Regions from separate parts of the Mus musculus genome. Here regions 1, 2, 3, 4, 5 and 6 are each reported to be linked to region 7. Evidence: microRNA targets listed by miRTarBase, many of them from high-throughput screens and not tested one by one. Region 7 holds a microRNA gene; each other region holds the end of a gene's coding sequence.

Region 1 (4,068 bases), not on the chromosome of region 7:
GGGAGTGGAAGCTGCTCACTGGAGACCCAGGCTATGGTGACTGGATTCCACCTCAGACACTGGCCTCCTTCCCTGGCAGCTGGTGGAACCTGGAGCGGATGGCCAGCATCCGCCAGGCTGTGTGGCTCTTTAACATCAGTGCTGACCCTTACGAACGAGAGGACCTGGCTGGCCAGCGACCCGATGTAGTCCGCACCCTTCTGGCTCGCCTGGCTGATTATAACCGTACTGCCATCCCCGTGCGTTACCCAGCTGCGAACCCTCGGGCCCATCCTGACTTTAATGGGGGTGCTTGGGGGCCCTGGGCCAGTGAGGAGGAGGAAGAGGAGGAGGAGGAAGAGGAGGAAGGCAGAGCTAGAAGTTTCTCCCGGGGTCGCCGCAAGAAGAAATGCAAGATTTGCAAGCTTCGATCTTTTTTCCGTAAACTCAATACCAGGCTGATGTCCCACCGGATCTGATGGCTTAGGGTGGCAGGGAATCTCAGTTCCCCTCAGACACTCTCCCTTTGCTGGTTCTCAGGGAGGAGGCAAGGTCAAGTCTTCATCTGTAGGCACGTGGAGGGAGGGCACAGAAGCCCTCAGCTGAATAGGGTGGGACTTGGGGAAGGGCAGCAACCAGGCTGGGTTGCCTGGGTCACAATCCTGCCTCTTTCCTGATGAGTTTCCTTTTTGCCCTCAGGTTACCTATAGCAGCATTCTGCCTCAATCTCACCCCTAAGATGAGCTCTGGTGACTTTAGGACTCCAGTGTACACATGTGTCTGGGGCCATGGCAGGGTTTCTTGCTGACCTTGTCACCTTCCAGACAACTTGAGTCCATGACCCTCTTTCCAGCTCTCTGTGGTGCTCTTGGATATCAGCTGGAGTATGGCCAGCTGGCTGCTGCTCTGTTGAACAACTCAATGAGAGAACGGACAGGGTAGGCTCTGAGAAATCTTTACGTTCCTGGAGCCTCATGACTTGGGAGCCTAGTGGAATTCTTCTCTTTTGGTCCCCAACATCTGGGGGGAGGGGGAACTGGCTGAGCCTGAGCCACTGTATAGTGAGGGTGGGGGAAGCAGCTGTGAAAGGAGCCTTTGATTTGGTCTTGAACACAGTTCTTCCCCACAGGGCCTTGATTTCCCTACTTGCAAAGGAGTAGGGAAATATGAGCCTTGGCTCTGCCTACCTCACGTTGCTGGTGCTGTAGAAAACTGGCCAGGCTGATGGTTGTGGAGGAGCCTGTGAACTTGATTAAAGTGCCATTATCCAGAGGCAAGAGATGCTGGTCTGTGTGTGTTTGAGTGTGTGTGTGTGTGTGTGTGTGTGTGTGTGTGTGTGTGTGTGTGTGTGTGTGTGTCTTGGAGACCTGTGTGAGCTCGATGCTAGCAGAGGGGACAGAAGGTAGGTGGGAAGGAAGGAAGGAATGAAGGAAGGAAAGAAGGAAGGTTGAAAGGAAGAAAGGAAGGAAGGAAGGAAGGAAGGAAGGAAGGAAGGAAGGAAGGAAGGTCCTGCCACAGGCTTACCATGTAGCTGCAGGCAAACCCCTGACCCTCTCTGGGCCTAAGTGTTTCTCTACACACAATGGATGATTCAAGAGTCCTTACTTTTGGTGGTTACAGGCACCCCTGTGCACATTTGCATCTGGGGTGGGGGGGACACAGGCTTGGTAGTGTTGAGGAGGGGGGTGGTTGTAGAGCCTGCTAGCTGCATAGCGCTGCTCTCTCCGCACACTGCGTTCTGCATATCTCCCTTCAGGTCCCAGTCGGCGCAGTGTGTGTAGGCGAAGGCCCTGCTGTGAATTTTGAAAATAGTTATTTTTGTCACTGGCAAAGGAGGCCCTGTTAGGACTCGTCAGCTTGTGGATGAGCGGGATGGGTGGAGTGGGGTGGGTGCGGTGCCGCCGTGGGGGGTTACCGCTGCTTGCAGGGCTGCATCGCCCAGGCAGTGACTGAATCCTGCATGAGGGCCTGGCCTAGGCTGTGGGGAGGAGATGACCACTGCGTCCTAGATCTTTCCTTAGCCCTGTGCTTCCTTTCTTCCTTTTTTCCTTAAGATTTATTTCTAATGATGCGTAGGTTGTGTATTTGTGTGTGGGTATGTGCACTTGAATAAAGGACCCACAGAGGCTATAGACATCAGATCCTCCTAGAGCTGGGGTTACAGAGGGCGTGAGTTGTCCAACATGGGCACCGGAAAATAAACTTATGTGCTCTACACGACCGAGCTGTCTCTCCAACACCAGCCCCCTTCTTTTGACTTTTCTCATCTCCCTCACTTGTATGTTTTCCCTTCCTCGATAATGCTGATACCCAGATGGTAGGCACGGCCCAGGATAGGCAGGGGTCTCTGCGCTCCAGTGGCTGTAGTGGTTTTCCTGCCTGCTCTGAAGAAGACACTGGCTAAGGTGGTGTCTTAGCCTACTGTATCCTAGAGGTGGGTTATTCATAGTCTGCCCACTGCCCAACACACTCTAGGCCTGCTGGGGCCTACTCTAACTCTGCTTGCTGGCTTGCCACCCTGGCACACAGTGTAGGCTTCCCTGTAGAGCCAGGCTTTAGAAAACTGTATGAGTACTTCTCTGAGAACTGCTGGAGGGGCCCTGCCTGCCAGGACTTTTCAACTTCCAGCCCTGTCATCTATATCACTTCTGAGGACCCCGTGTGGGGGTCACGAGAACAAGACCATATGTAGTGCTTTCTGTTCTCCCTTGGGTCCCAGGCTCTGAATCAATCTGGTCCCAAGATATAAGGGATGATTGGTGCTGAGGCTGGTGTCTGTTTCTGAAGTTTTGAAGACAAGGGTTGGCTCAAGCCTCCCTGTGTTCAGTCCTCCACTCAATGCAGAACTCAGTGAACTCAGAATTCTCAGCCCAGATGCCAGCATAGCCCAGCATAGCCCAGCATAGCCCAGGAGCTACTGGAGCATCAGTTTGAAACCAGGTCCGCAGGAACTAGTGGGCAACAGTGTGTGAGGCCAGTGGTCTTTGGGGTATTGTATTGAATTGAGAGGTCCTGCTTAGCAGTCAGCATGCCCACAACCTGTTCTCTACGGTGGTCCGGATTCCCCTCAGCAAGCACACCTGAATCTTTACTACATCCCAGTTCCTGGTTGGCTCCTGACTTCGGGTTACTATGGCTGTGATGAAACACTACGACTAAAAGCAATGTGGGGAAGAAAGTTAATTTTTTTACTCGACCTTCCATAGACAGGGTTCATCACTAAAAGCAGAGGGCAGAGGAAAAGATAGCTCAGCGGTTAAGAGTGCTGTCTACTCAACAAAGAGGTCTTGAGTTCAATTCCCAGCAACCACATGGTGGCTCACAACTGTCTATCCTGGGATCTGATGCCCTTTTCTGGCATACAGGTATACATACAGATAGAGGACTCATATACATAAAATAAATAAATAAATCTTTAAAAGCAACAAGGGCAGAAATTCAAGCAGGGCAGGGACCCAGAGGCCAAAGCTGACGCAGAGGCCATGGAGGGGTGTTGCTTACTGGCTTGCTCCTCATGGCTTGCTCAGCCTGTTTTCTTATAGAACCCACAACCACCAGGCCAGAGATGGGACCACCCACAAAGGGCAGAGCCTTTCCCTATCAATCACTAATGGGAAAACATCCTGCAGTCGGATCTTATGAAGACATTTTCTCAGCTGAGCTTCCCTCCTATCAGATAACTCTAGCTTGTGTCAAGGTGACTTAAAACTAGCCAGCACAGCACCTTATGCTCACATCACCTGGGTCCCTTTGGAGAGGACATAGTTAAAGGGAGCCCAGAGGCAGTCCCTAGGCCACAGGTCTTCATTGCCCCTCTCTGGGACGGATTAGACAGGCTGCAGACCTGTTAGCTGGAAGAGTTAGATTCAGGCAAGAGCTTGAATCTTTACCTGATCCTGGCTATGGAGTCCTGGCCTCTAATGATCAGCTCCCTAACAACCCAATGGAGCCATATACCTGCCTGGGCCATGGCTGTGTCTCCTCTTCTTTCAGACACTCCTGGCTTGCCTAGGACACAGGCTAGCATCCTGTCAATGCCAGGAAGGGGCACAGCAGGGAAAGAGCAATGCTGTTGGCCTGACTGCCACC
Region 2 (4,068 bases), not on the chromosome of region 7:
AGAAAACAAACCAGGACACCTCAGGAGGTGCCACTGACAAGCCTAACTCAGCACGATTCCACTCAAGTTCACTTGAGGAGTGAATGAGTTTTGGGGCTTCCTTACAGAAGTATTAGGTGAAATATTACCTACAGTGATGTGGGTGTCCTCCACCTAACCAGCTGCATCTGCAGGAATGAGGGCCCCTCCCCTAGTCATCGCAGGCCCAACTACTCTGCCGCACCACACAATTAAGGCACTGTCATACAACGGGTGGCAAGGTGCATCTGCATCCTCAGGTCTCGCTGCCTTCCCACCCTTGTGGCAGGAAGCGAAAGGTCAACAAGCCCAGCTGTGCTACTTCTTTCGGAAGAGGCTCAGCTGAACTCTCTAAAATGAGTTGCCGGTCTCCTGGAATAATCAATCACACCACCGTTGCTCACTCTGCAACTAACTCTTGCTGGCCTACAACTCACAGTATCGCCTAGGCTAACCTTGAACTCATGGCAGTCCCATCTTAAGAGTCTAAAGTACTAAAATTATGGCTTTTTTTTTTAATTTCTACTAGTATTTATGTGTTGTGTGAGTGCAGGTGCCCAGAGGAAGCAGACTGTGAGCTACCTGATGTGGATGCTGTCAACAGAACTTGATCTCTCTGCTGGTGGAGCAAGGGCTATGGTCCACACAGCCACCTCCAGTCCCTGGGTATGGCTTTGAATTGTAGTTTATAAGAACCAGAAGACAGAAATGTGAAGATTCCCTGAGCAGTGAAATAGCTAAGTGCTTACAGGTAGAAAGTACTAAACTGTATACCATGTAATTATGGGTGTGGGGAAGCAAGGAATGTAGGTCGGTGAGCACACCTTCATAGCAGAAGCCAAGGACCAGCCCTCCGCAGCGAGAAGAAATGTTGTTTAAAAAGTAGTATGTGGGCTGGAGAGATGGCTCAGCAGTTGAGATCACTGACTGCTCTTCCATTCCGAACATCCTGAGTTCAAATCCCAGCAACCACATGGTGGCTCACAACCATCCATAATGAGATCTGACACCGTTTTCTGGTGTGTCTGAAGACAGCTACAGTGTACTTAAATTTAATAATAAATAAATTTTTAAAAAAAGTATTATGTATGTGGGAGCACATGCCTTTAATCCCAGCGATTAGGAGGCAGAAGCAGTTAGATCTGAGTTTGAGGCCAGCCTGGGCTACAGGACAGCCAGCAGTACAGAGAAACCTTGTGTCAGAGAGAGAACACACACACAAAGAATGAGCATTATGTAGACACTTAGTAGATAGTGAAGAGCTGAGTGCAGCTAACAGCCTAGCCTGTCTACACTACTAAAGCCAGACATGAAGGCGAACAGACAATGGAGTCAAGACCCAAGCTGCAACGAGCCTCAAGGAAGATGCCAAGCCCTCCACTCCCCAGACCACCAAGCACACAGGCTGCAAAACACACAGCACTAGCCAACTCTTCTCACAAGATAGCTCAGACGTGTGTGATGGTTTGTATATGCTTGGGCCAGGGAGTGGCACTGTGAGGAGGTGTGGCCTTGTTGAAGTAGGTGTGTCACTGTGGGTATGGGATTTAATGCCCTAGTCCTAGTTGTCTGGAACAAGTATTAAGCTAGCAGCCTTCAGATGAAGATGTAGAACTCTTAGCTCTGCCTGCACCATGTCTGCTTGGAGGCTGCCATGCTTCCCACCTTGATGATAATGGACTAAACTTCTGAACCTGTAAGCCAGTCCCAATTAAATGTTGTCCTTTATAAGAGTCCCCTTGGTCAGGGTGTCTGTTCACAGCAGAAAAACCCTAAGACAACTGGTCTGGGTGCATGTATGTGTAAGACCCTGGTTTTCATCCTCAATACGAAAAAGAAAATTCTCTGTTTTCCAAGGAGACTTCACTAATTTCTTCCCAAAATGTTTAGCTGTTAAAATCATCTTACTATGTCTGGTTCTAACTTAAAAATGTTCCTACTTCAACCTCCAAATGCTGAAATTACAGAAAGTGTATCACCATGCCCAGATAGCACGCAATTTCTCTGAAGTGTATAGGCTTGTTCAAAGCATGAGAAACATCTTAACCAATGCCTGTTTCTAACCATCCCACTCCCTTTAGGAGCAGGCGGCTAAAATTCAACACAGTAGTCACGGAAGCATGGCTGAGTCTTTATTGAAACCTGCATTGGTGTGAGCAGGGAGGCCCCAGGTGAGCTAGGCTGTACTTTCATTTTCACAATGGATATTTTTTTCCCCCCAAACTCCTTTGTAACCTAAGAGGCTTATTTGTCAACATACCTTCTACATTCTAGCTACTTTCCAAGCCTGGCATCCCATCAGTATCTATGGATGCAATTTCATTCCATTTTCAGTTAGCAGTTAAAAGAACCTTGAACCGGGAAGTGGTGGTGCAAACTCTCTGCTCTCAAATGTTGGAGGCAAGCAGATAGATCTCTGAGTCCGAAGCCAGCCTGAGCAATATAGTGATTTCCAGGACAGCCAGGGGCACACAGTAAAATAAAGATGAGACAGACCTTGAAGTTTCCTAGTGACTTGCCACCAAGGCTGGCCTGGAACTCAGGGACTTGTCTGTCTCATATAAAAGCTTTTTAAATCAATAAAATTTTCTTTGTTCAAAAAGGTATTCATAGACAGAATGAAATTCAGGGCTCTGCATCAGTCTTATTACACAGGAGTATAAAAACCTTGAGAGGAATTCCACTAAAAAATATTGTGACCAAGAAAATATTGCTCGCCTTTAAATAAATATGTGGCAAAAAATTAAATATACTTAAAGGGCCATTTTCACAAACACGCAAGTTTACATGTAAGGATCCAAGGGAAGTCAACGTCCACAGTCCTCGAGCACACCTGCTACAGAGCAAGGCTGGCTGTTCAGTGTAAAAACAGCTTTCCTGAGCCAGACAGTGGTGGTGCACACCTTTAATCCCAGTGCTCGGGAGGCAGAGACAGGCGGATTTCTGAGTTTGAGGCCAGCTGGTCTACAGCCAGAGCTAAACAGAGAAACCCTGTCTCAAGAAACCAAAAAAAAAAAAAAAAAAAACAGCTCTCCTGGCTGAGTCCGTGTTGTGCAGGCTGTGGAATGCTCGACAGACCCCCAGGCCTGCTTCAGTCGGCCTGAGCTGCAGCTAGGTCTCTGGGGACTCCTGCACAAGGACCTTGTGTGCTTCTCCGACTCCTCTCTTCCCGCCTGACTCCTCTGCAGCCCTTGGTGTCCCTCAGTGAAGCCCAAATGTTCAGCTTTGCCTGCTTGGCTCTCCCCACGCACCCCACAACACAAATAGACTTCTAGTCAAAGGAAACCATTACACCCCTGTAAGCAGGAGACAGTTCAAAGTATTCACAGGCAGTGCTGATCCTGGAGGACAGCTTACCAAAACAAAGTCAAAACTGTGGTTCTAATAAAAAGAAACCTGTCAGAAGGCCACTTGCCAGGTTGTGGCTGATACAGCATGCAGCCAGCAGGCCACAGGCAAGACTGTGAAATACTGTGAAATGTCCACTGTGAAATACTGCCTATGACACTCAGTTTTTCCCTATGTCAACAGGGAGCAAACTGCAAGCACACACAACCTGGTTCCCTTCAGATGCTGGTCGAAGTCCAACATGGAAGCTGGACACATGAGGCATAGACTAGTCCAGTGTGGGGTCGGGGTGGAACACAGGGTCACAGGGCCCTGGGAAGAATTGCGCAGCTCAATCATAGATCCTTGTGAGGAGTGGAGACTGGCCTGGTATATACAGCACAGGAGGGGAGCCCACACTACTGGAAGGACTTTGGAAGTGGGTATCAAAGGAGCTCGGAGTAAGGCCAGTCACTGTGTCACTCTGGGGCACCTCGCCTTTCAAAAAGTCATCATCTTCATCCTCCACTACCTCCTGTGGAGAGAACAAAGTGAGAATATCATAGTGTTGGTCTGGAAAGTTTTCATGGGATGGAGAGAGCGTGCTTGCCACCAAGCCTGGCAACCTGAGCTTGGACCAATATGTGAAAGGAATGAACCAAACCCCCTAGATATAAGTCTGTGTGTGCCTGAGGATCCCAAAACAAGAGCAGACTCTACAGT
Region 3 (4,055 bases), not on the chromosome of region 7:
AGAGGAGTAACCCCTGGCCAAAACAAAGAAAGCAAGCTGTCAGTGAGTTGACCCACTGCAGCCTGTGCAATAGACATCATTATGATCTGAGGATTCCTTTAAAATCTGTCACTTGTTGGAGGGTGGGAGGCCACCTGAGGAGAGAGTGACAGCCCAGCCTTTCCCTTGCAGATTCACCATGAAGAACCGGCTGGGTACATGGTGGGTGGCCATCCTCTGCATGCTGCTTGCCAGCCACCTCTCCACGGTCAAGGCAAGGGGCATAAAGCACAGGTTCAAGTGGAACCGGAAGGTCCTGCCCAGCAGCGGCGGCCAGATCACCGAAGCTCGGGTAGCTGAGAACCGCCCAGGAGCCTTCATCAAGCAAGGCCGGAAGCTGGACATCGACTTTGGAGCAGAGGGCAACAGGTACTACGCGGCTAACTATTGGCAGTTCCCTGATGGGATCTACTACGAAGGCTGCTCTGAAGCCAACGTGACCAAGGAGATGCTGGTGACCAGCTGCGTCAACGCCACCCAGGCGGCCAACCAGGCTGAGTTCTCCCGGGAGAAGCAGGATAGCAAGCTCCACCAGCGAGTCCTGTGGCGGCTGATCAAAGAGATCTGCTCCGCCAAGCACTGCGATTTCTGGCTGGAAAGGGGAGCTGCGCTTCGGGTCGCCGTGGACCAACCGGCGATGGTCTGCCTGCTGGGTTTCGTTTGGTTCATTGTGAAGTAAAAATCAATGAAGCTGGCAGCCACAGAGGTGAGCTGGTGGGCAAAGGTAGACAGAGGTAGCCCAGTTCTCTCTATCTAGCCCCCGAGTGTTCTGAAAGTACAACGTGTAGCGTTTCAGGGCATTTCAAAAGTCCCTCCCAAGTACTCCCCCTACTCCATGTGTTTGATAATGTGTTTCAGTGCCCCTATGCTCCACCCCTGTGAGACCTGGCCTGTTCCTGCCTTTGCAGCTACACTAGGTGAGAAACCAGCCAAAGGATACAAGAATTGTCCTGTGCACTCCACCTGATTTTCCAACTCCAGGAAACTGAGGCTCACATTGCAGGAGTCCCTGTCCAGCACAGTTAGAAAACAGAAGAGCTGGGGTTCCCCTGCTCTGTCTTCCCTCAGGTTTTCTGCTCTGTGTAGCCTAGAGCTGCCTCCTGATCCCTCCAAGACTCAGGTCCAAGTGCAGTCCCGAATGTGGACTGAAATGTGGAAGTCACACCCTGAACTAAGTGGGAAGCCCTGAGCGACAACCGTGCACCTTGACACCTTACGTGAGACAATATAACAAAAATTAAGCTAAAGTAGACATGACACTAGACAACGGCTCAGAAATCAGATTGTAGGGAAATTTGCTATGCACCTCCCGGAGAGCAGCTTCAGGGCAGGATGTGTTTGTGGTGTCTAGATGCGTCTTCACAAGGACTGGTGTTTGCTGGTTGGGCCCCTGCAATGTCTGCAAAGTTAAGAAAACCTTTTTAAGTGACACATTGTGCGTGCGTGTGCATGCCTGTGTGTGTGTGTGTGTGTGTGTGTGTGTGTTTATTTGTTTTCTAGATAGAAATTTTTCTATGTAGCCCAGGTTGACCCCATAATCATGATCTTCTGGCCTCTGCCTCCTGAATGCTGGGATTGCAGACATGCCACCAAGCCCAATATGTGTTTACTTCTGATGTCCCCTGGCCCTATGTGCATGTGTGTTCTTAGGCATCTTAAGATGCTCACTGCGCACAGAGCTCTCTGCAAACACTGTCTGTTTTTAAAACCCACTTTGGTAAAAGCTAATCTCCGTGAATCATTTAACACTCCCAAAATATAATTATTAGCCAAAAAGCCTAAGAGAAATGTCATCTTTAGGAAGACCCAATAAAGAAGTGGTGTCTACCATCATAAGAACTGATATGCCACTTTGTGAACTTAAATATATATTAAAAATATGAATGTTACCTAAATGTTTAAAAATCTTTTAAGATTCTTCCACAGGTTTTCCTCACCTTTCAGGACTCCAGGAGTTGCTGAGCGGGATCTGGAAATAACTGCTACTGGGTGTAGTCTCTTGTAAACGGAGTATCTGCCAGGGGGGTCGGGTATTGTCAAAGGATTCATCTGCAACATTCCAGAACACGAGTGCTGATAGCAGTACTTCGAGTGCTGAGTTCCCAGTGCAATCGGTTCTTCTCAAGGACACCTCTGGCAGGTGTCACATGGTAAAGGGACATGAAGCAGGGCGGAACCTTTACCACTGGACAGACAGCCCAGAGAAACCAGCCTGCTGCAGTACGCCACTGCTGCCAAGACACACCTCCTCAGTCTACTGATCCTAAACCAGAGAGCAGGCCCAGATCACACAGTTTACCCCTTGCACGCCATTTTAAATATCAGACAATAAAGAAGGAATAGTTAGTTCTTAGATGGTGATGTTGGTGTTTCAGCTCCAAGCTTAAGGCTTAGTTACCCGGGTGCACAAAGCTGTAGACAACCAACTTCCTTCCAGCGTGAAAATGTGTAGGCTGGACAGAGTCCCGTGCTCCACGATCGCTGAGTTCTTTCAGACCATTGGTTGTCACACCCACAAGCCTAACTGTGACAGCCAATGAGTGTCCATGTGATTTTGACTGCAAATTTCGCTTATTTGATTTTTAGCGGAGACGTCCTTGCTCTTACTTGTGGATCAGGAGAGGTTTTCTTAGCCCTTCTAAGTGTTCCCAACCCGTGCGCTGTAGAACAGATTGCGCAAACTGACAGCAGAGTAAAAGGGGGCGGGGCTTCACTTCCGGCATCCCACCAGTCCACGCCCGCCGTTTTCACCTCTCCAGACTCGCCACTCCTTTATTCATTTGCAACTGCAAATGTAGCAATTTGCAATCCTAATACAGGGCCAGGGCGGTGGATACCTTAAAGTTTTATTTGACTTCATTTAGTGCTTTCTGTCCATTTTTAATGACTTTTGTTTTTTTGTTTTTGTTTCTCCAGCCCCATCTCCTCCCTCTGCCCTAGTATGAAACTTGTACCCCTTTACTGTGTTTAAATATAAAGAAGAGGGGTTTTGTTTTGTTACATTACAACCCTTAAAATACAACGATCACTTGTATAATATTTGTTTCTCTGCGGTTTGTATTCCTGATTTAGTGGAATGCCATTAAACTCTCTGGGTCAGTATCTAACTAGTTAACATCTAACTAGTCCTTTTAGATGACCATGAAGTATTCCACAGTACAGATGTGCTGCAAGTGACTTGATAACTTCCTTGTTGACAGATCTTCAGATTGTTCTTATCTTGCAAACAATAAACACCCATACATATACAGACAGCCACGGTGTCTGGTGGTTTTATTTCTGCAGAAAAGAGTCACTGCCACAGAATCCCTAAGACAAAGCAGATCTCTAGCTCAAACCTTATCAGGCGCCCCCTGGTTGTGTGATGACATAGCTGGTGACTCTCAGCATTCTCAGCATCCTGAAAATGATCTCTTTGAAGTGCGAGAAGCTGAAGATCACTCCTTCCAACACTGCTTAAGCATCTGCCTTCCTCTGCAGAGGGCGCACAAAAGCTTCCTGAGGACTCTGAAGACCATCCAGATAGCCCGAAACCATCAACATTGTCTAGTCCAGACCTGGTCCTTGGTGTTAAACATGTGGAAGAGAAATCTGAGCACTAAACAGTGGGCCTGTGGGCCTCCTACACAGAGGGCAGGGTCTGCAGGCTCCGTGCCTCCCAGTAAGAGGGGACTCCTGGGGTAAAGTGTGTCCCTGATCTTCTGACAGACTCAATAAAGTTGACCATGCCAGTCCTGCATTCCAGTGAGAATGTTCCAGGTTGCCAGGCTCATTAGGAACAGGATGGAGCCCTGTCGCAGAAGCCATCCTTTCCTCTCAGCTTAGGCAAAACACCAGCTTCTCTCTCAAGACCCTTGTGCCCCACATGACCCAGAAGGCACCTGCCAGCCTCCAGAACACCCACCTGTGAGCTTTGTGAGATGTGCCCTTAGCAATGGTTATGGCACTTCCTATCTCAACTCTCTAACTGCCAGTAACTGGCCTAGGTGGTGGCTCAGTGAATCAGGGACCTCAAG
Region 4 (4,068 bases), not on the chromosome of region 7:
GTGTCTGTGTGTACTATGGAGATGCATATTCTTTCCAAGGTACCTTTCTCACACGAATTTCACAGATCTCAGAGCCAGAGTAGCATTTGTCAGGACAATATGAGTTTCCTTATATGTTGGTTTTAGAACATTTGAGCCAAACGCTGCCACCTCCAGCTGTTCTAGGAAGAGCCTCCTGATACAGTGGTAAAATAGTCCCCCTTCCAACACCTGCAGTAATGTCCTAACTGTGCATTCTGGATCCTCCAAGAGGACGAGCAAGGGAGTGAGCACACAGTAGGCCTCTCAGGGGGCAAGCCTGCTGGACATCTAAGAGGAGGCCTGCCTGAGAACCGTTGGTGCTTCAATTTACCAGAGTTCGTCTGTATCAGCAGTGTTTGTATACTGTTATAGGATATGGGCAAGATGCCCACTCAATGACCAGCTCGGGTATCCCGGAACTCAAGTGGCCTGTGAGATTTGTGCAAGGGAACAGGAAACCTGTTCATATGTGTCCTCCATAAGTCAACAGGCATGTGAGTCCAGAATCCTTTCTTCGAAAGATCGTGTTAATGCTAACCAGGATAAACTTTGAAAATTGGTTTGTGACAAAAAGATTCACAGTAAACCAAGCCAATTTTAGAAGAGGAGATATCATGGTCATGAAGGAAGTTTTCCCAGGGCGAGCCTTACCCATTGCAGTCTGGATGTGCTGACCCCTATGATTTCCCCAAATGCAGGAAACTGCATAATTTGTGATAGTGAGGGACTATGTTCTTGCTCTACCCTGATTAAAAAGAAAAGAAAAGGAAAAAAGCCAGTTTTAATTAGGATAAAACTCTTGAAGTTAATGGTTTGTCTGTTGTGAGTGTTATTAAAACCCCTTTTATCCTCATGAGTATGGCTATTGCTCAGCTGGGTCAGCAATGACCATTCTCGGTTGTCATATTAAAAATATTAAATATGGCCAGGTGGTAGTGGTGCATACCTTTAATCCCAGCACTCAGGAGGCAGAGGCAGTGAGTTTGAGGCCAGCCTGGTCTACAGAGCAAGTTCCAGAACAGCCAGAGCTACACAGGGAGACCTTTTCTTGGAAAAAAAAATAATATGGGGCTGGGTTCATAGCTCAGGGTATGGTGCTGGGCTAGCTTGCACAAGGCTAGCTCGCTCAAGGCTCTGTACTCAGCCCCAAGCATCAAAAACAAAAGCCAAAAGCCTAAATACTGATAATACCATCATGTCTGTTTATTATATTATATAAAAGCAGTATTTTGAAAAAGGTTTAAACATTTTTAAAAAGTGAATTTCACCACAATTTAAGAACCACTGCCTTAAAATAGATCCTTAGGCAAGGAGTCTGTGTGTGTGTGTGTGTGTGTGTGTGTGTGTGTGTGTAGCCAAAAACATGCAGAAAGGGATGCTATTGTGTGGGGTGATCATATATTGCACAGTCTCCATGGTAAACAAAACATTTGTTTCCATTTAGAATCGAATAAAAACTAACAGCGGCTGGTCAGTAGCCAGAGGGCTACTAAGGAGTCATTTGACTCCCCGTGCAGAGACAGAAAAGTTGCTAAGCCTCATAGGAATCCCAGAGCTTTCTCCCTACCTTCTAGGCTATCTCCCTGCTAGCCTAGACCTGGGCACCTACGTGGGCTTTTGCTCACTTCTGGCAGAGTGACCTGCGCAGGCTCCCATCAAAGGACAGAAACAAAAAGCAAGTCTTCCAGCACAGGATAGATGATAGCCTTTAAGAAAGTCAGCCTTCTCTGGCAAATTGCTGGTAGGTGGGCTGAGGGGATGGGGGCGGCAGGAAACAGACATCTCCTGCCTTCAGGATCATAGACAGCTTCAGGACTGGTGTGACCTCCGACCCGCCTCCATCCCCTAGTGCCACTGCTCAGAGTAGGGAGGATGTCATCTGTGTGCACAGCCCTGAGAACTGCATCCACAGGAGTTAAAGAGGCAGTTCTCTGGACTGCAAAGGTCTTATATGAAGAGAAAAGGTGAGGCTCTGTCATTCTGTACATGTTTAAAACTCCAAATTTTGTCCTTTTCTCCTAATAAGCCCCTAGCACACCTTCCCAATCTTCGAGACATCCTACTGTTCTTGAGTCCCCTTCCCTGTGACTTGTAGAGTTTGGGGTCCCTGTTCTGAGTAGAAGCAAGATGGTAAGCATAAGGCTTGCTGGTTCCACTCTCTGTTGGGGAGCAATGCACAGCTTGGCTGGCTTCGTGCGAGCTGGCCATTGGAAAAGAGCATCATCAAATGTCCACAAGAAGTGTCCGCTGCCCTCGGCTGGGTCTTCAGTCGGTACGCACAGACAAGCTCTTCCTCAGTTCTGCCTGTGGTCAGAGGCCACCCCAGCACTTTACATAAACTGTCTCTGTCGCTGCAAGACACACTGCATTCCGCAGACACCTGGTCCAGCTCAGAAGAAAGATGCGCTGCGGTCGATGCATGGTAAAGTGCTCCCTAGAATTCCACAGAATGGGAAGCACTAAAAGCTGCCTTTCCACATACTCCCCAAAGCAAATTGTGCCGCTAAGGACACACATTTTATTGCATTTAATTCCAGGGGGGAAAAATAGCACTTCTTTGCCAGCTAGGCAAGATTCCTAGGGACACACTGAAAAGCCACCTCTCCATACAGGCTCCGAGTGCCCACCCACTTACTCACTTCTGGATGTACACATGCATGCACTTCTGGGTGGATTCACATGGATTCATCCATGAGCACAGATTCACAGGCACGATGACTGGGTCATGGGCATGCGAATGTGCACACACACACACACACACACACACACACACACACTTGCGTGCACAGGAACACTCATAATTATGAGAACATGTGCAATCCCACTTACATACACACAATCCCATGCTTATTTACACACAACATACTCATGTGTATACAATACACATTCATATATACAAACCCACTCATACACTCATGGGTGCAACATTATGCACACAATTATTTGCAAACATATCCATCAGTATGCCCACAGCCACGCTTTAGCTTGTTAGCAGCTAACAAGGAAGAGCAGCAGCCTCTTGTCTATAGTGGCAAGGTCTGTGTACAGTCCTCAGAGGGTTCCAGACTGGCAACTCTGGTGAAACTCCTCCCTTCGGTCACTGCGGAAGGAGTGACAGACCGGAGGTCGCCACGAAACCAGATCGAACCGAGCTGGGCAGGAGCAAGAGAGGTCCACGTCACAGCCACAGAAGGGGAGCTCAGCTGCACACTTCAGAAGAGCATGCCACGGGCTCTGACAGCTCATTTGCATAGCAACTACAGGAGGAGTCCCTTGAAGGTCGCTTCCTCTGTCTACTCTTGATGGCAAAGGCAAGAGAGAGGCTACTTCTCCGCCTCCTGCAGTTCTTTCAGAGTGGCCTGCAAGAGCCATCGAAGCTTCCAGAACACACTGGATGAGGCTGTCCAGGAATTCCCCGAGGAGCCCCCGTGCTGAGCACACTCCTGCACGGCCTGCTGTAGCTGCAGCCGAAGCTGGAGGGAGACAGCCGGGCTCCTGTGTGTTGAGGAGAACCAGTGTCGGAATATTTTATCACAGATGACCTGGAGGAGGTGGGGAGGAGTGAGAGGTTAATTCAGGGGAGCAATTCATTCTTTTTTTTTTTTCTTTTTGATACTTTCTTTATTTACATTTCAAATGTTATTCCCTTTCCTAGTTCTCCCTCCCAGACACCCCCTATCATATCCTCCCTCCCTCTGCTTCTATGAGGGTGTTCCTCCACCCACTCACCCACTCCTACCTCCCCACCCTCAATTCCCCTACACTGGGTCATCTATCAAGCCTTCATAGGACCAAGGACCTTTCCTCCCATTGATGCCTGACAAGGCCATCCTCTGCTACATATGCAGCTGGAGCCATGTATACTCCTTGGTTGATGCTATTAGGATGTGGTGGAGCTGTTAAAAGGTGTGAGTGAGTTAGGTCATTGATGTGTGCCTTGCAAAGGATGGAGGTCTCTTCTCCCTCTTTGCGTCCCTGCCACCAAGAGGAAAGCAGCTCTTCTTTGCCATTCACCCCAGCCAGGATGCTGTGCTCCACCACTGAGCC
Region 5 (4,063 bases), not on the chromosome of region 7:
TCTTTACTGTTGATATTTAAAATATCCATCACATTATAATGGCTATAATACAATTCAATTATTTAACAAGATCTAGACAATAATAACACTAGTAATCTAATTCATAGAACATTTAAAAGCATTTTATACAGTCTACTCACAATATATCTTAAATACAATAAATGCATACTAAATATGCATAGAGAATATGGCTTACACATTAAAGTAGATCTAAATTGTGAGTTATAAAGACCTCACAACTTAGGCTTAAAAGCTTCTTGTCATGTCCCTCTCTGAAATATTGCTTAGCCTTGAGGAACCTGGGGGGAAACACAGGTGCGAGAAGCAACTCATTAGGATGGGTGAACCTTTCTGCACATCACCTAATTGACAGTAACTGTTCATTCCATCTAATTGTCACCTTTCACGAAGTTCGCAATCCCTGAACTGTATGTACAGTGAAAATACTACAACATCTAATTGGGCTTGACCATTCCTGTTAGCTACTTCACACATGCTCAGGCAAAACATGACCAAGAAGCAGGGCCTCTGAGGGTTGCAGTTCATTTCTCTTCAGTAAAATTAAAAAGTCACATCACATAACAGTTTTAGCTGTACAGAAAAGTATGTGTTTCCATATACACCTCTGAGCACGAGTGCACACATCTACAACATACACACACACAGACACACAGACACACAGACACAAACACACACACACACACACACACACACACACACACACACACACATCTTATGCCTCAGCCTGTAATATATCTTTATATTCTAGTGGTAACAACATCCCAGAAGGAAAATTCTGTCTTCTCTTTGAGTGCCCTTCTCCTGCAATGGCTGATGTTCCTTGTTACATTGGCCCTACAGCAAACTGCGACCTATAATATAACCACACACACATGGGTGATACACTAGTGCCTTAAAACTCAGTGGATGGCTGCAGGATGGTCGATGACTTCAGGAGAAGATGGCACTGTAGTTTCCCAGCTGGAGGCCCATAGAGGCGTTCATCCAATCACTGTGCGGCAGGTCTTACGGTCAGCTGTTGCTGGCGCTTCTGAAGACAGATCTGATTCTCATTCTGTTCCCATGCATTTAAAACAAGACAGTCTTACCAGATCAGCATTGCAAGAAAACAGGGTTTTCATCATTTTGTTTTGCCTTTCTTTTACTCTTTTTTTGTTTGTTTGTTTGTTTTTCTTCTTGTTGTCCTTGCTTGTTGACAATTGTGTTGTTGCGTCACTCTGGAGTAACACAGTGCAAGTTGTATATTGAAATCCATTCCATCTTCTATACAAGTTAAAAATGATGAAAACTTGAAAGCATCCAGCTTTCAGCCTTAAAAGATTTCTCTGGCTAAGATGACCAAATCATGGAAGGAAAACCATGGCAAAAACAGTGGCCAGGATCCTAATGATAACTCGTGGGAACTTTGTGGCTCAGTTACTAGACTGAAATTTATGCTTTTCTTCCTTACAGAGGAGTCCACTAAAATGGACTGAGCCAAACATTTTATTTTATTTTTTTAGAAAATCAAGGTCTTTGTGTGTTTTTCATGCTGCTTTCATTTTCCTGAAATAAAAATCAAATGAAAATGAGATCAGAGAAGGGATGGGAAGGTGGGTTGGGTAGATGTTAGTTAGAAGATAGAACATTTCAGTTAGATCACAAAAATAAACTCAAGAGATAAATTCAGAAGATATTGTAAGTAATGATGTATTGTGTTCTGGAAACTTTCTGAGAGTACCTTTTCACCTATCCAACAAAAAGTGATAAATGTGGGAGGGCATACACTTAGTATTTAGTTCAATTTAACCATTCCACGAAGATGACAGGCTTCAAAACATGTCACACGTGAAAATTACAAGTTTGGGTAACTAAAAATAAATAAGGAAAAATAAAGAATATTATTTAGCTACATAAGGGTCAGCTACTGAATGGTTTTTTTTACATAGGACTTATACACTCTGCCAGAAATAAGAGATTGGTAGTGAATAGCAATTGCTTTCTAGCTCTGTTTTAAATGTCTCTGTTTTGCACAGTTTTTAGTTCCAGTACACTTTTTTTTCATACATTGAACAGTCATTTTAGTAAACACACTGGTGACTTGTATTCCCTATATACATGTTGGGTAAATAGTCATAAATATTTATAAAATGTTGACCCAAACTATTTTCTATCCTTTTTGTGGTGATATATAATAAACATTGGGTTGCAAGTGTCCTAAAGGGAGGAATATTGCTTAATTATGCATATTCATATTCAAATTCACGTTAAGTGACCAGGATCACTAGAGTTAATAAATATACAATCTGTGTGGAAAGTATGGAAGTCCTTATAATGGTTGCTAGCAATTAAATACATAAATGGGCATGAGATGCTGAAAAGCCACTTGGTGATTTGCCTTATTTTCAACCTTCATGTATTAAACAGGAATTATAGCCACCATGGGATACCTCGTGTAACATATCTAAGATGCTCACAAGTGAGTCTTTGCACAAATACTGAACAATTGCCTTAAATGCCAAATCACATTTAACTCTTTCAAACCAGCATCTCAAGCGTCTGGCATGGCTCCCTCACCACTTTCCTGTGCCCCTGCTACTAAAGCAACATAATATTCCTTACAGCACTTGCTATTTGTTTGATATGCATTTTTTAATATTTTAGACATGTATACTACATACTCCATCCTCTCTAGTTGTATGTTCATCCTGTTTCCTTCCAAGACAGTGGTTCTGTTTGAATAGACACTAATATTAATATATCCACTCATTAAAACTTCATAATATATAGAAATAGTCTTCGTGTTTCTACAGCATTATTTCTAGGGTTATCAATCTAGCAGATGGAAAGCAAGTCACAGAAGCCATTTTTAAAAGCAAGACTATTTTCATCCACAGACTTATAGCAAACATGATATTTATGTTATTAATGGTTCCTTATGCGCCATAGAAAAAGTAATTCTAAGTCTTCTCCCACTGTAAGAATTTCTTCTGGAATCTTTTTCATAAACCATATAAAATATAGCTTATTGTGCTTAAAGTATTAAAATTGTAATCTCAGGAAATAAAATGTACTTGATGAAAAAAGTACATTAAAAATATTTAATATTTAAATGGAGTCCTTTGTCTCTGAATGTGTTATACAAATAATTCACTTTAGAAATTAGGTTTCTGATATGTTTCTTATGTGTCTTGGTCTTCATGTGTGTACCGAATAACTGAAACTGGGGTTATCCCAAAAGCTGTTTGCCTGCACATGGGATTCTAGTTGGGCTGCCTTGTCTGGCCTCAATGGAAGAGGAAGCACATAGCATCTCAGAGACTTGAAGTGCCAGGGCAGGGACGGGAGGGGCAGGGATTTTCCCAGGGGGGTCCCACACCCACTCAGAGGAGAAATGGAAGGGAGATGGGAGAAGGATTGTGGGAAGGGGGGACCAGGAGGAGGGCAGTGAGCAGGATGTAAAGTAAGTAGAAAATAAAATTAAATAATAAAAAATTTAGGTTTCTTGTCTCAAAGGTTACATTACCTGTTGTGTTTAAAACAACTGAACTCTTAAAGTTTGTTCACACCTATGGACGTGTGTCAGCATGCTTTTCTTCAGTATTTCCTAACTCTTCTGAGTTCTTATGAAGATCAAGTTCACCTAAAAACATCAAATAACAAATAGGTAAGACAAAATTGGCCTTTGGTGGACAGGGGTGCACTAACATTCCCAGGAGGGAGCGGTTTGTAAAGTGCAGAAGACCGGATTTGATAATGGATTTTGTAGTAGTGCGTGTCTCCAAAGATGGAGTATTTTTCTTTCAGCCAGGGGGTTTGCAGAGTACAACAACACATCTTCGCATGATTGTTTAACCTTTGAAGTTGCAGCTTAGTCTGGAAACACGGAGACAAAATATACGAGAGAAGCATTTACTACATCACACTCAGGACTGCGTGATTATCCTGGATGTTTCTTTTACTGAAAGCAAGTTTAAACAAATCCTAATGACCAATGTCTTTAACCATTTACTGATTGGCTGCTGCTATGAATTTAAAACAATTAGAATGAGTATGAGAGACT
Region 6 (4,068 bases), not on the chromosome of region 7:
ATTTCCATTGAACTGCCCTTGTTTTTGAGCCCACAGAACCAGTGTTCCTGTCTTAAATCTACAAGGGAGGGAGTAAGTGGACATAGTCGTGTGTGATTAGTATCTTTATAAATTAAACATCTGTGCAGTGAAGATGTAGATCCTGTATCTTTGTATGAAACAGTTAGAACAGAACCTTGAAAGTTGTTCAGGAGCGACCCGTTCCTCTGTATCTCCTCTGGTGGATTGACTCTGGAAACCGTTTCTTCCCTGTTGTAGCAATCAGGCAGGAGCTGAGCAAGTCGAACACTGCATAAAGAAGCAAACTACGGAGGGGCAGGACTTGAATCTGGAGAAAACAAAAATTCCTACAAACAACTCTTAACCCCCAAACTTTTAAGCTGTAAGAAGAAAATGGATACACAGTCAGGAGGGAAGCCGTCAACCTCTGAAAGCCTCAGACAGTGACTCTGGCGATCAGCTGTCCCCTCAGTGTGCTGCTTTATTCTGTCTGACCTTTACCACAGGATGGAGAATGATATTGGAGTTCCCTTAGCAGTACTAAACCCGTCAGGCAAGATCACCGTGCATTGAAATATTTTCATGTCTAGATGAGTCTGCACGTTTTCCATAATCCATTGCTAAAATAAAGACGAGAAAGGCTTCAGAGATTTTTTTCCAGAGGGCGCTGATGAAGAATTTGATTTAGTAAGTTCTGCTGTTGCGTTGTAAATGTTTCTCTCAGGTTTGTCTTCCTATCATATTTGATATTCCGTGAACACTAAGATCATAAAGGATGGAACAAACGGAGTTGTATGTGCTTTCAGAGGGTGGTGTTTAATACGAAAGGTCCCAAAATGTTTAGTCCCACTTGAGGAATTTTAGAATGATAGGAAGTCTCTCGGGTTAGCCTTCATGCAATTTTGTAGTTTAAAACATAAAGTCCGTCCAGAAATTAAAGATTTAGATGCCTTCCTAAATTGTTACAATGCTTTACCAAATCTATGACTTCTACATAACCAACAGTGGTCAAATGGAAAACATTCTATTATAGATTTACTGTAGGTTTTCAACCTTTTTTAGACATATGCATGTGGACATTTTTATAATGTAATTACAATCACCACAAAGTTAGCTTTTTTAATTACAGACAATAATGCATGTCACACTAATATGTAGTGGCCTTTTCAGGGCCTAGTCCCAGGGAAAATATTTTGTAGAATATAGGGAAGTGGGAGGAAGGGAAGGAATAACTTTTTATTTAAAGTTAATTTCTGCACTATCTTTTTTTTCTCAATTATCTGCATGAATTATAATGAAAAATATTTTGTGACTTTAATCAGTAAACATGTTAACAAAACCAAGTACTTAATCTTTTACATCATGTCTTCAGCTATTTGTATTTTAACCAGCAATTTCAACGGTCTGAAACATGATTCTGAGCGTAACATGTGAGTCCGTCTCACTGTGGAACTCACGAGTTTGATCACTGAATTTGGCAGTTATTTTCACGCGGCCCCCACAGTGCTGCAGTGCTTGGGTTCACGCTCCTGACTCTGCGGCTGCTCCTTGACCTTTGCTGTGCTAAAATACAAGAAATATCAATAATGGCAGCAACCAGGGTCACATAAGTCACTAGGTAAGGGAGACCAATGAGGAGTTCTGCAGCTTTCTTTTAATAGAACTAAAGTGAGGCTTAAGTGGTAGGGAGTGTCTGCTGTTACACCCTGAGTGTGTGTGTGTGTGTGTGTGTGTGTGTGCGCGCGCGCGCGCGCACACACACACACACGCACACAGGTGAGAGAGAGAGAGAAAGTGATCGAGCTTAAGAGTGTGTGATAGATATTATGTTCCACCCCTTTATAATTGGCAAGATTAAAATAAGGGAGAAAATTTTATATGTTGTAATGTTAGCTTTTTGGAAAATCTAGGAAATCAAAAATTCTCCAGGCTGTCCATCATGATTTATGCTTGAGTTATTAATGTGCCATATTTGCTTTGGAATCTTTGGCTATCAAAACTTTTGCTAAAAAAATAGTAGATACAATCCACTTTGATTTGCTTTCTAGATTTCCTATGTCTCAGCTGTAAAGCAAAGCTTGATGAGAGTAGTTTTCTAAACCCTGCAGTTTGCAGCTAACCCCACTGCAGAGCCGTGTGAATGAGGGGTTTTGTTAAGAGTGTTTGTTTCTGTAGAAACTTCATCTTTAGATTAAAGTGTGAGGGATGAGCGGTCATAAGTCAATTCTGTGGCTTTCTCTACCCATCAGTCGTCGTCTCGCAGGAATAGTAAAGGCATTAAGGATGCGGCAAGCATGTACGCTGTTCTAAAAGAAGTATGCATCTCATTTACTGTTGAACGTTTGATTACGCAACTACTTTGATTGTGTACGTGTGTACATCCCTTACAGATCTGATCAAAAATCGCTTTTCATTTTGTTGCTAATGTTAAATAGTCTGTAGTACGTAGAGTACTGGGTCTAGATGGTCCAAAGTGAGACAAAAATGCTGAAGTCAAATGCTAAGTCCTAAACAAAGCTGGTTTATGCACTAAACGTTTTGTGCCTTGGTCTAATATTTAACACAATGTCTGTAAAAATGACAAAAAAAGAAAAAAAAAGAACCGACATTGGCTCATGCTGTATCTGTATCCTCCATGATAGTACGTCCTCCCACATGACTAAATGTGCTCCTACCTGGATGCTTCACTGTCACCCAGGACAGTCGTGTCGTCGCTAGAGATTTCAGTGACTACAATCGCAAGCTAAAGCTTGAGTTGTTTTCCCAAAACTGTTCCTTGGAACCATATTGTGACGGTGGGTCCTTGCTTCTGTGTGTTGACTGTCTTCAGCTGAGTCCAGTTTAGGGATCGTCTGTGATGACAGGAAGGCTCTGCTCTCCTCAACACTGTGATCTGACCTGCGACAACTCTACAATACACTCTGAATGGCTAGCACGTCCATAGCAAACAATCTGAATGTACAAACCTTAGCGTGGTGCTGAAATCTCTTGAGAATAGTAACCGTGATCTCAAAGTCTGTTCAAAACGTGTCAATCAGAACTGAAGATGAACCGCTGATGAATGTCCGGTCCTCATGCCGCAGGCGTGTTTCCTGTCTAGGTTTTCAGTTCTCTGCTGTTACCACCATAGCTGTTCCAGTTAACTCTCCTACACACTAACTTCATTTGTGCGATTGAAATAAAATTGCAGTATGTGCATGTTTCTTGTTTGTGACACTTAGATGGTCTTCTGCAATGATGTGTTAATTCCAAACCAAGTGATACTGGGTGTGAAATCAGCACCTTAGGAAGCCCAGGGTTTCACTGTTTACAGTTTAAACATCATGTCACTGTTCTTTAAAGATTTCATCCACGTCTGGCGTAGTGGAAAACACGAAGGGAATATGTAATGATCTTTCTACCTTTTGTTTTGCAGTAAGCGCTGTGTGCCTCTTCTGTCTTACATGCTCCCAGCACAGCTTGTAGTCAATGTGGTGAAAAGTGTTTTACTCCATTCTTTTGTCCTATAACACAGTCATATATATATTTCACTTCATTTACACGGTTCATTTTTTTTCTTTATGTAATTTGCATATTAAAGGATATTGCCAAGTAATTAACTTTAAATGTAGCAGTCTGTACCCTCTACAGTGATCTCTTTATGTTGGCTTTTTATATATACTTATATATATGTCTCAGCACCTTTATCTATTACAAAGTTCCATTTTCCAAACTTGTAATTTCCTCATTAGAAGTACAACTCTGTCTGTGTGTGTGTGTGTGTGTGTGTGTCTGTGTGTCTGTGTGTGTGTGTGTGTGTGTGTGTCTGTGTCTGTGTGTCTCTGTGTGTGTGTGTGTGTGTGTGTGTGTGTGTGTGTGTGTGTGTGTGTGTGTGTGTGTGTGTGTCTTTCCCCCTTTATCAGACCTCGGCATCTCTCCCAAGCTCCTCCGTCCTCTTTGTGCTTCCTGTTCCTGGCATTAATTTGCATTTGCAACCACCTTGTGTTGCTCACTGTTGTGAAGACAGCCAGCTGATTTTTCTTTTGGTTCCAACTTACACTCCTGCTTTATCTACAAATTAAAGTCACT
Region 7 (4,068 bases):
CGACCACATCAGAAAGCAAAAGCCACACAAGGCAGACAGCAACAGCTGAAAACCTGAGGAATTATTTGCCTGTCAGAAAGAATGTTATGTTTGGGAATCTGTGTGGAATTCTTTCTCTGGCTTCAAGATCACAGATCTGCAAGTGTGAGAGGCAAGTAAAACAAAAAAACGAGTTCTAGACCACCGAAGCGACAGCCTTTCATTTGGGTGACCAACAGTGAATCTCTTGAGCATCAGGACAAATTCTAAACAATGAAAATCCCCCCACGCAACCCCCCAAAAAACAATAACAACAACTTAGCATTTTAGAAGCAAAAGGTCTCATTCGTGTGGATTTTCATTAAAGAGTAAAAGAAAAGATCTAAAGCCACAGGAAACTGGAAAGACAAATCAATGGGGGAAATAAGCTCCTGGTGGTCAGGGTGAAGGTGCGTCCCAGCAACGCTGACTGAGCTTTTGCAAAGACAATGTTTGTGTGCTCTGCGTCCTAGTGGCCAGATGTCTTAGCCAATGGTGATGGGAACTGACTAGACCAATCCAGCAGGGCCAATCCAGAGGAGAGACTTGGCAGGAGACTTTGTGTTTTAAGGTGGCTCCTCCAGTGTGAATTTAGGGAAAATATTCAAAGGATCTGTGGCCACTCTCAGATGTTTGCTTTAAAGGGGGCACTTGTGGGGCTAGCAGGATGGCTCAGAATTAAAAGCACACACTGTTCCTACAGAAGACACTAATCTGGTTCCTAGCACCAGTATGATAGCTCAGCCCATCTGTAAATCTAGATAGACTGAGACTGACTCCCACCCACAGTCACCTAGCACACAAATGATGCACAGACATGTATGCAGGTAAAACAGCCATACACATGAAATAAAAATAAATACATCACATTAAAGGGAAAAAAGGGAGAGGAGAGAGAGAGAGAGAGAGGAGGGATGGTTGTCTCAAAAGAATTAAGACCATACTTAAACCACCCTTTACCTGTTTCCTAAGCTTATTCTGTCTTTCATTCTTTTCTGTTAATTGTATCGGGTGAGGGGCTAATGAGAGCTAGCTGTTACTAGCTGAGTGTGCTCTGCTGTCGTTTGGATGGGGTTTTCCCCATTGCAGCTCTGAGCAGAGCACCTGGTAGGCTCCTCGTCATATTTGCCCTAGCCAAGCAAGCCAGGAGCTCAAGGAAACACCTCTTAAGTGTTTCCCAGTTTGGAGGTTGCACACACATCCCATGTTTGGCTGCTATTATAGGCCAGAAGTTCCTAACACAGTTTGACTAAAATACATCCACTCTTTTCATTTGATGTAGATCTAACCTAACTTGTGCAAAAAATACTTATGCAAAGATACACAGTGATGGCAAATGAAATGCTTCTGTTGTTGTAGTTCTTCTTGTGCTCCTGCAGTACCAAATCTCGGCCACGAGCCACTTGTGAAATTCTGCCTTCTTCATTTCTAACCCTGTGAATAATGTCATTCATCCTGGAATGGAGTGATGGGTTACGGAAGGACAGATCAGCGTGACCTCTCTAGTGACTACAAGCCACTACAATTGTCCTCAGAGATGCCCGAGGTCCTCTGAGTCTCTGGAGCCCTTTTTATATATTAATACAATGACATCAAATGCTATTTTCGCTCTTGCCCCACAGTTGTACAGTGGAGTTTCCCAGAGGCTGCATGCCACAAGATGATGTCATCACTGCGGCTAATGGACATTGTGTTATGCATTAGTAATATTGTGCTTTAAAAAGTCCTTATTGTATTTAATGAAATCACATTTATTGGCACTATAATAAATGCTGGTAGACAATCCATCCAAACATACGGTTCTTGCACTCTTCAGTAGTATTAAGAATATAAAGCACACCTATAAGGCAGCTCAGAGGGTAAGGGTGCTTGCTGCCAAGCCTGACAACCTGAGATCAGTCTCTGGGCACTACTGGGTAAAGGAGAAAATTGACTCCTACGAGTTGTCCTATTATCTCCAGAGATGAGATATGGCATGCATGGGTACGTATGTGTGTGTGTGCACATATACTACACACACATACACACACACACACACACACACACACACACACTAAAGAGAAGGTAATAAGAATATAAAGGAGATTTTTAAAACTGTTTCAGGAGTAGAGGGGTCTTCCTAAGGTAGACTTTAGATAAATATGGTAGTGACTGCCTGTAATCTCAACACCCAGGATGTTAAGACAGGAGGACTGAGTTCAAGACCAGGCTAGACTAGAGACCCCTGTTTCAAGCATGGGAAGGAGTTAAAAATAAAGAATTTCACTAAATTCCTTCAGTTTTCTGCATGAAAATTTCTCAGCTCTTTTTTTTTTGCTCCACCCCACTGTTAAGCACTCTCTTGTGATATATACATTTAATACTTCAATAAAGTTTTATTTGCACCTATTGCAAACCCCACCTTACCCCCCAGATAGTAGTAAAGTCTACTAGTAGTATACCCATGTGGACTCAGCTGAGTAGAATCCAGATGCCACATTCTTCAGAAGGGTTTTCACAGCCCAGAGCAAAAAGTATCCAATTGTCTATTTTCTTCAAGGAATATACCGAGGCTTTCTGAAGCATTTATACTACCTAGTCACTTCGGATCCTACTCTGTTTCTCCAAATATGAATTTCATGTCAGCTTAAACCTAACATGGCTCTCAAACGCCAGTTTTCACCCACTACTTCCACTCATTAACATACTTGTGGTGAGCACCTAATAAAAAGAGAAATGGCAAACTCTAGTCACAAATATAAAACACAAAGCAAACTCGAGAAAAGTTTTTGTATATTTTTACAACTCGGGGAATTTTTCCTCACCCAAATCTAATTACCGGGAGCCTAGGAAGGAAAGTTCACATCATAATGTATGATGAGAAGCGTTTCCTCTAATTATACAAACATGATACAAATAGTTCTGTGCAAAGTGCTTCACTGGATAAATATTAGCATGCCATTATCATCGTTCACTGACTAATCTGGGCACTGGCACTTCTCTGCAGACTTCGTAAAAAACAAGGGAAGAGGAAACGAGGTCATGAGTGAGTCCTGCTGCACACAGGAGCACCCTATGTATCTCCATCTCAACTCTCTAATCAGATGAGAAGCATGCATGCTGCCCATGGCTTCTCGATGAAGATACTGATGCTCAGAAGAGGTCGGTACTTTGTTCAAGACTGAAAGAGAAAACTGAAGCTGGAGCCCATCCCATGCCTGTCTCTGTCTACTCTGGTGCCCGCTTTCCAGCAATCTTTTTTCTTAAGAACCCTCACCCGAGGAAGCATGTTCCAATACCAGTTGACCCAGAAATCAGAGTTGTGAAGGCTTCTTCTGGCGCTGTTTTGCAGCACTTGTGTGTTTTCAACAGGCATTCTTAGTGGACCAACAGAACAAACGATACTGCAGTTAGCAGTTGGCAGAGCACTGTGACAAATGATACACTCTTAAAAGAAATTAGAGAGCAGAATCTACAGTTAACATTGCTTTGTCTCGAGACCAGCTCCCCTGTACACCATTCTGATATGCAAAAGCCAAGCTGTGTATAATGTCCCTTGTATGTATATTTCCAGGGCTGTCCATTTGGTATTGGATAAGCAATTTCTCCTGTTCTCCGCATTTTGTAGGTCTTTGTGTAGGATGGAGGGCTTTCCACTGCCTACTTCAGCATGTCTAGTGTTGCCCTTGTTCAGCTCATGTTTAGATGTTATGGATATAGTTTCTAACTGAATAGGTTGTATTTATGTTTTTAGAGATATACCTACCTACCTACATACATACATACATTCCTAATATGTGTGTATGTGTGTAACAATAAATAATGATAAAAGAGGCGATGAGTTTGAAAGAGCACAAGGCATTGTGGGAGGGTTTGGAGGGAGGAAGGGGATAATGATGTAATTATATTATAATCTCAAAAAGAGGGTAATTTTTTTGAAATGCTTATATATATATATATATATATATATATATATATATATATATATATCCATGGGACATTCATGGGTCCAAGTCAAACTTCTGCACTCTGGGCTGTTGAGGAAGGGCAGGGTCTGCGACACCGACATGC

Evidence for each region. Region 7 holds the annotated microRNA mmu-miR-466q (GUGCACACACACACAUACGU, at 2,004-2,023, opposite strand). A microRNA usually pairs through its seed, bases 2 to 8, with sites in the 3' UTR of a target mRNA and lowers its output. Matches are read on the target gene's strand: a 7mer-m8 pairs with bases 2 to 8, a 7mer-A1 pairs with bases 2 to 7 and ends in A, and an 8mer does both.
Region 1: the mRNA of Arsi is a reported target of mmu-miR-466q. The part of its 3' UTR that is shown has no 7-base or 8-base seed match.
Region 2: miRTarBase lists Rrn3 as a target of mmu-miR-466q. Seed matches in the 3' UTR shown: 7mer-m8 at 2,915-2,921.
Region 3: the mRNA of Prnd is a reported target of mmu-miR-466q. Seed matches in the 3' UTR shown: 7mer-m8 at 1,483-1,489.
Region 4: miRTarBase lists Dipk1c as a target of mmu-miR-466q. Seed matches in the 3' UTR shown: 7mer-m8 at 3,226-3,232, 7mer-m8 at 2,952-2,958 and 7mer-m8 at 2,762-2,768.
Region 5: the mRNA of Pde1a is a reported target of mmu-miR-466q. Seed matches in the 3' UTR shown: 7mer-m8 at 637-643.
Region 6: the mRNA of Enah is a reported target of mmu-miR-466q. The part of its 3' UTR that is shown has no 7-base or 8-base seed match.

What each region holds. Positions count from the first base shown.
Region 1 is chr18:60,917,311-60,921,378 of GRCm38, forward strand. Arsi (arylsulfatase i) reads left to right here. Exons shown (of 2, transcript NM_001038499.2): 2 at 1-1,251. The coding sequence ends at 458. Among named protein-coding and RNA genes, the nearest start is that of Camk2a, 6.3 kb to the right of the region's middle.
Region 2 is chr16:13,812,902-13,816,969 of GRCm38, reverse strand. It overlaps Rrn3 (RRN3 RNA polymerase I transcription factor homolog (yeast)), which reads right to left. Exons shown (of 18, transcript NM_001039521.1): 18 at 2,129-3,880. The coding sequence ends at 3,698. Among named protein-coding and RNA genes, the nearest start is that of Ntan1, 4.3 kb to the left of the region's middle.
Region 3 is chr2:131,952,838-131,956,892 of GRCm38, forward strand. Prnd (prion like protein doppel) reads left to right here. Exons shown (of 2, transcript NM_023043.3): 2 at 172-3,294. The coding sequence starts at 179. The coding sequence ends at 718. It overlaps Prn (prion protein readthrough transcript), which reads left to right. Exons shown (of 5, transcript NM_001278259.1): 4 at 172-745; 5 at 1,984-3,294. The coding sequence ends at 718. Among named protein-coding and RNA genes, the nearest start is that of Prnd, 4.0 kb to the left of the region's middle.
Region 4 is chr18:84,738,864-84,742,931 of GRCm38, reverse strand. It overlaps Dipk1c (divergent protein kinase domain 1C), which reads right to left. Exons shown (of 5, transcript NM_173770.5): 5 at 2,496-3,563. The coding sequence ends at 3,345. It also overlaps the pseudogene Gm25005. Among named protein-coding and RNA genes, the nearest start is that of Gm38576, 3.2 kb to the left of the region's middle.
Region 5 is chr2:79,835,359-79,839,421 of GRCm38, forward strand. Pde1a (phosphodiesterase 1A, calmodulin-dependent) reads right to left here. Exons shown (of 16, transcript NM_001159582.1): 15 at 3,527-3,643; 16 at 1-1,566. The coding sequence ends at 3,570. Among named protein-coding and RNA genes, the nearest start is that of Ppp1r1c, 130 kb to the left of the region's middle.
Region 6 is chr1:181,902,088-181,906,155 of GRCm38, reverse strand. Enah (ENAH actin regulator) reads left to right here. Exons shown (of 15, transcript NM_010135.3): 15 at 259-4,068. The coding sequence ends at 296. Among named protein-coding and RNA genes, the nearest start is that of Gm33669, 26 kb to the right of the region's middle.
Region 7 is chr3:28,417,943-28,422,010 of GRCm38, reverse strand. It overlaps Mir466q (microRNA 466q), which reads right to left and starts at 2,068; the gene lies at 1,993-2,068. All of the region lies in intron 2 of Tnik (TRAF2 and NCK interacting kinase), which reads right to left.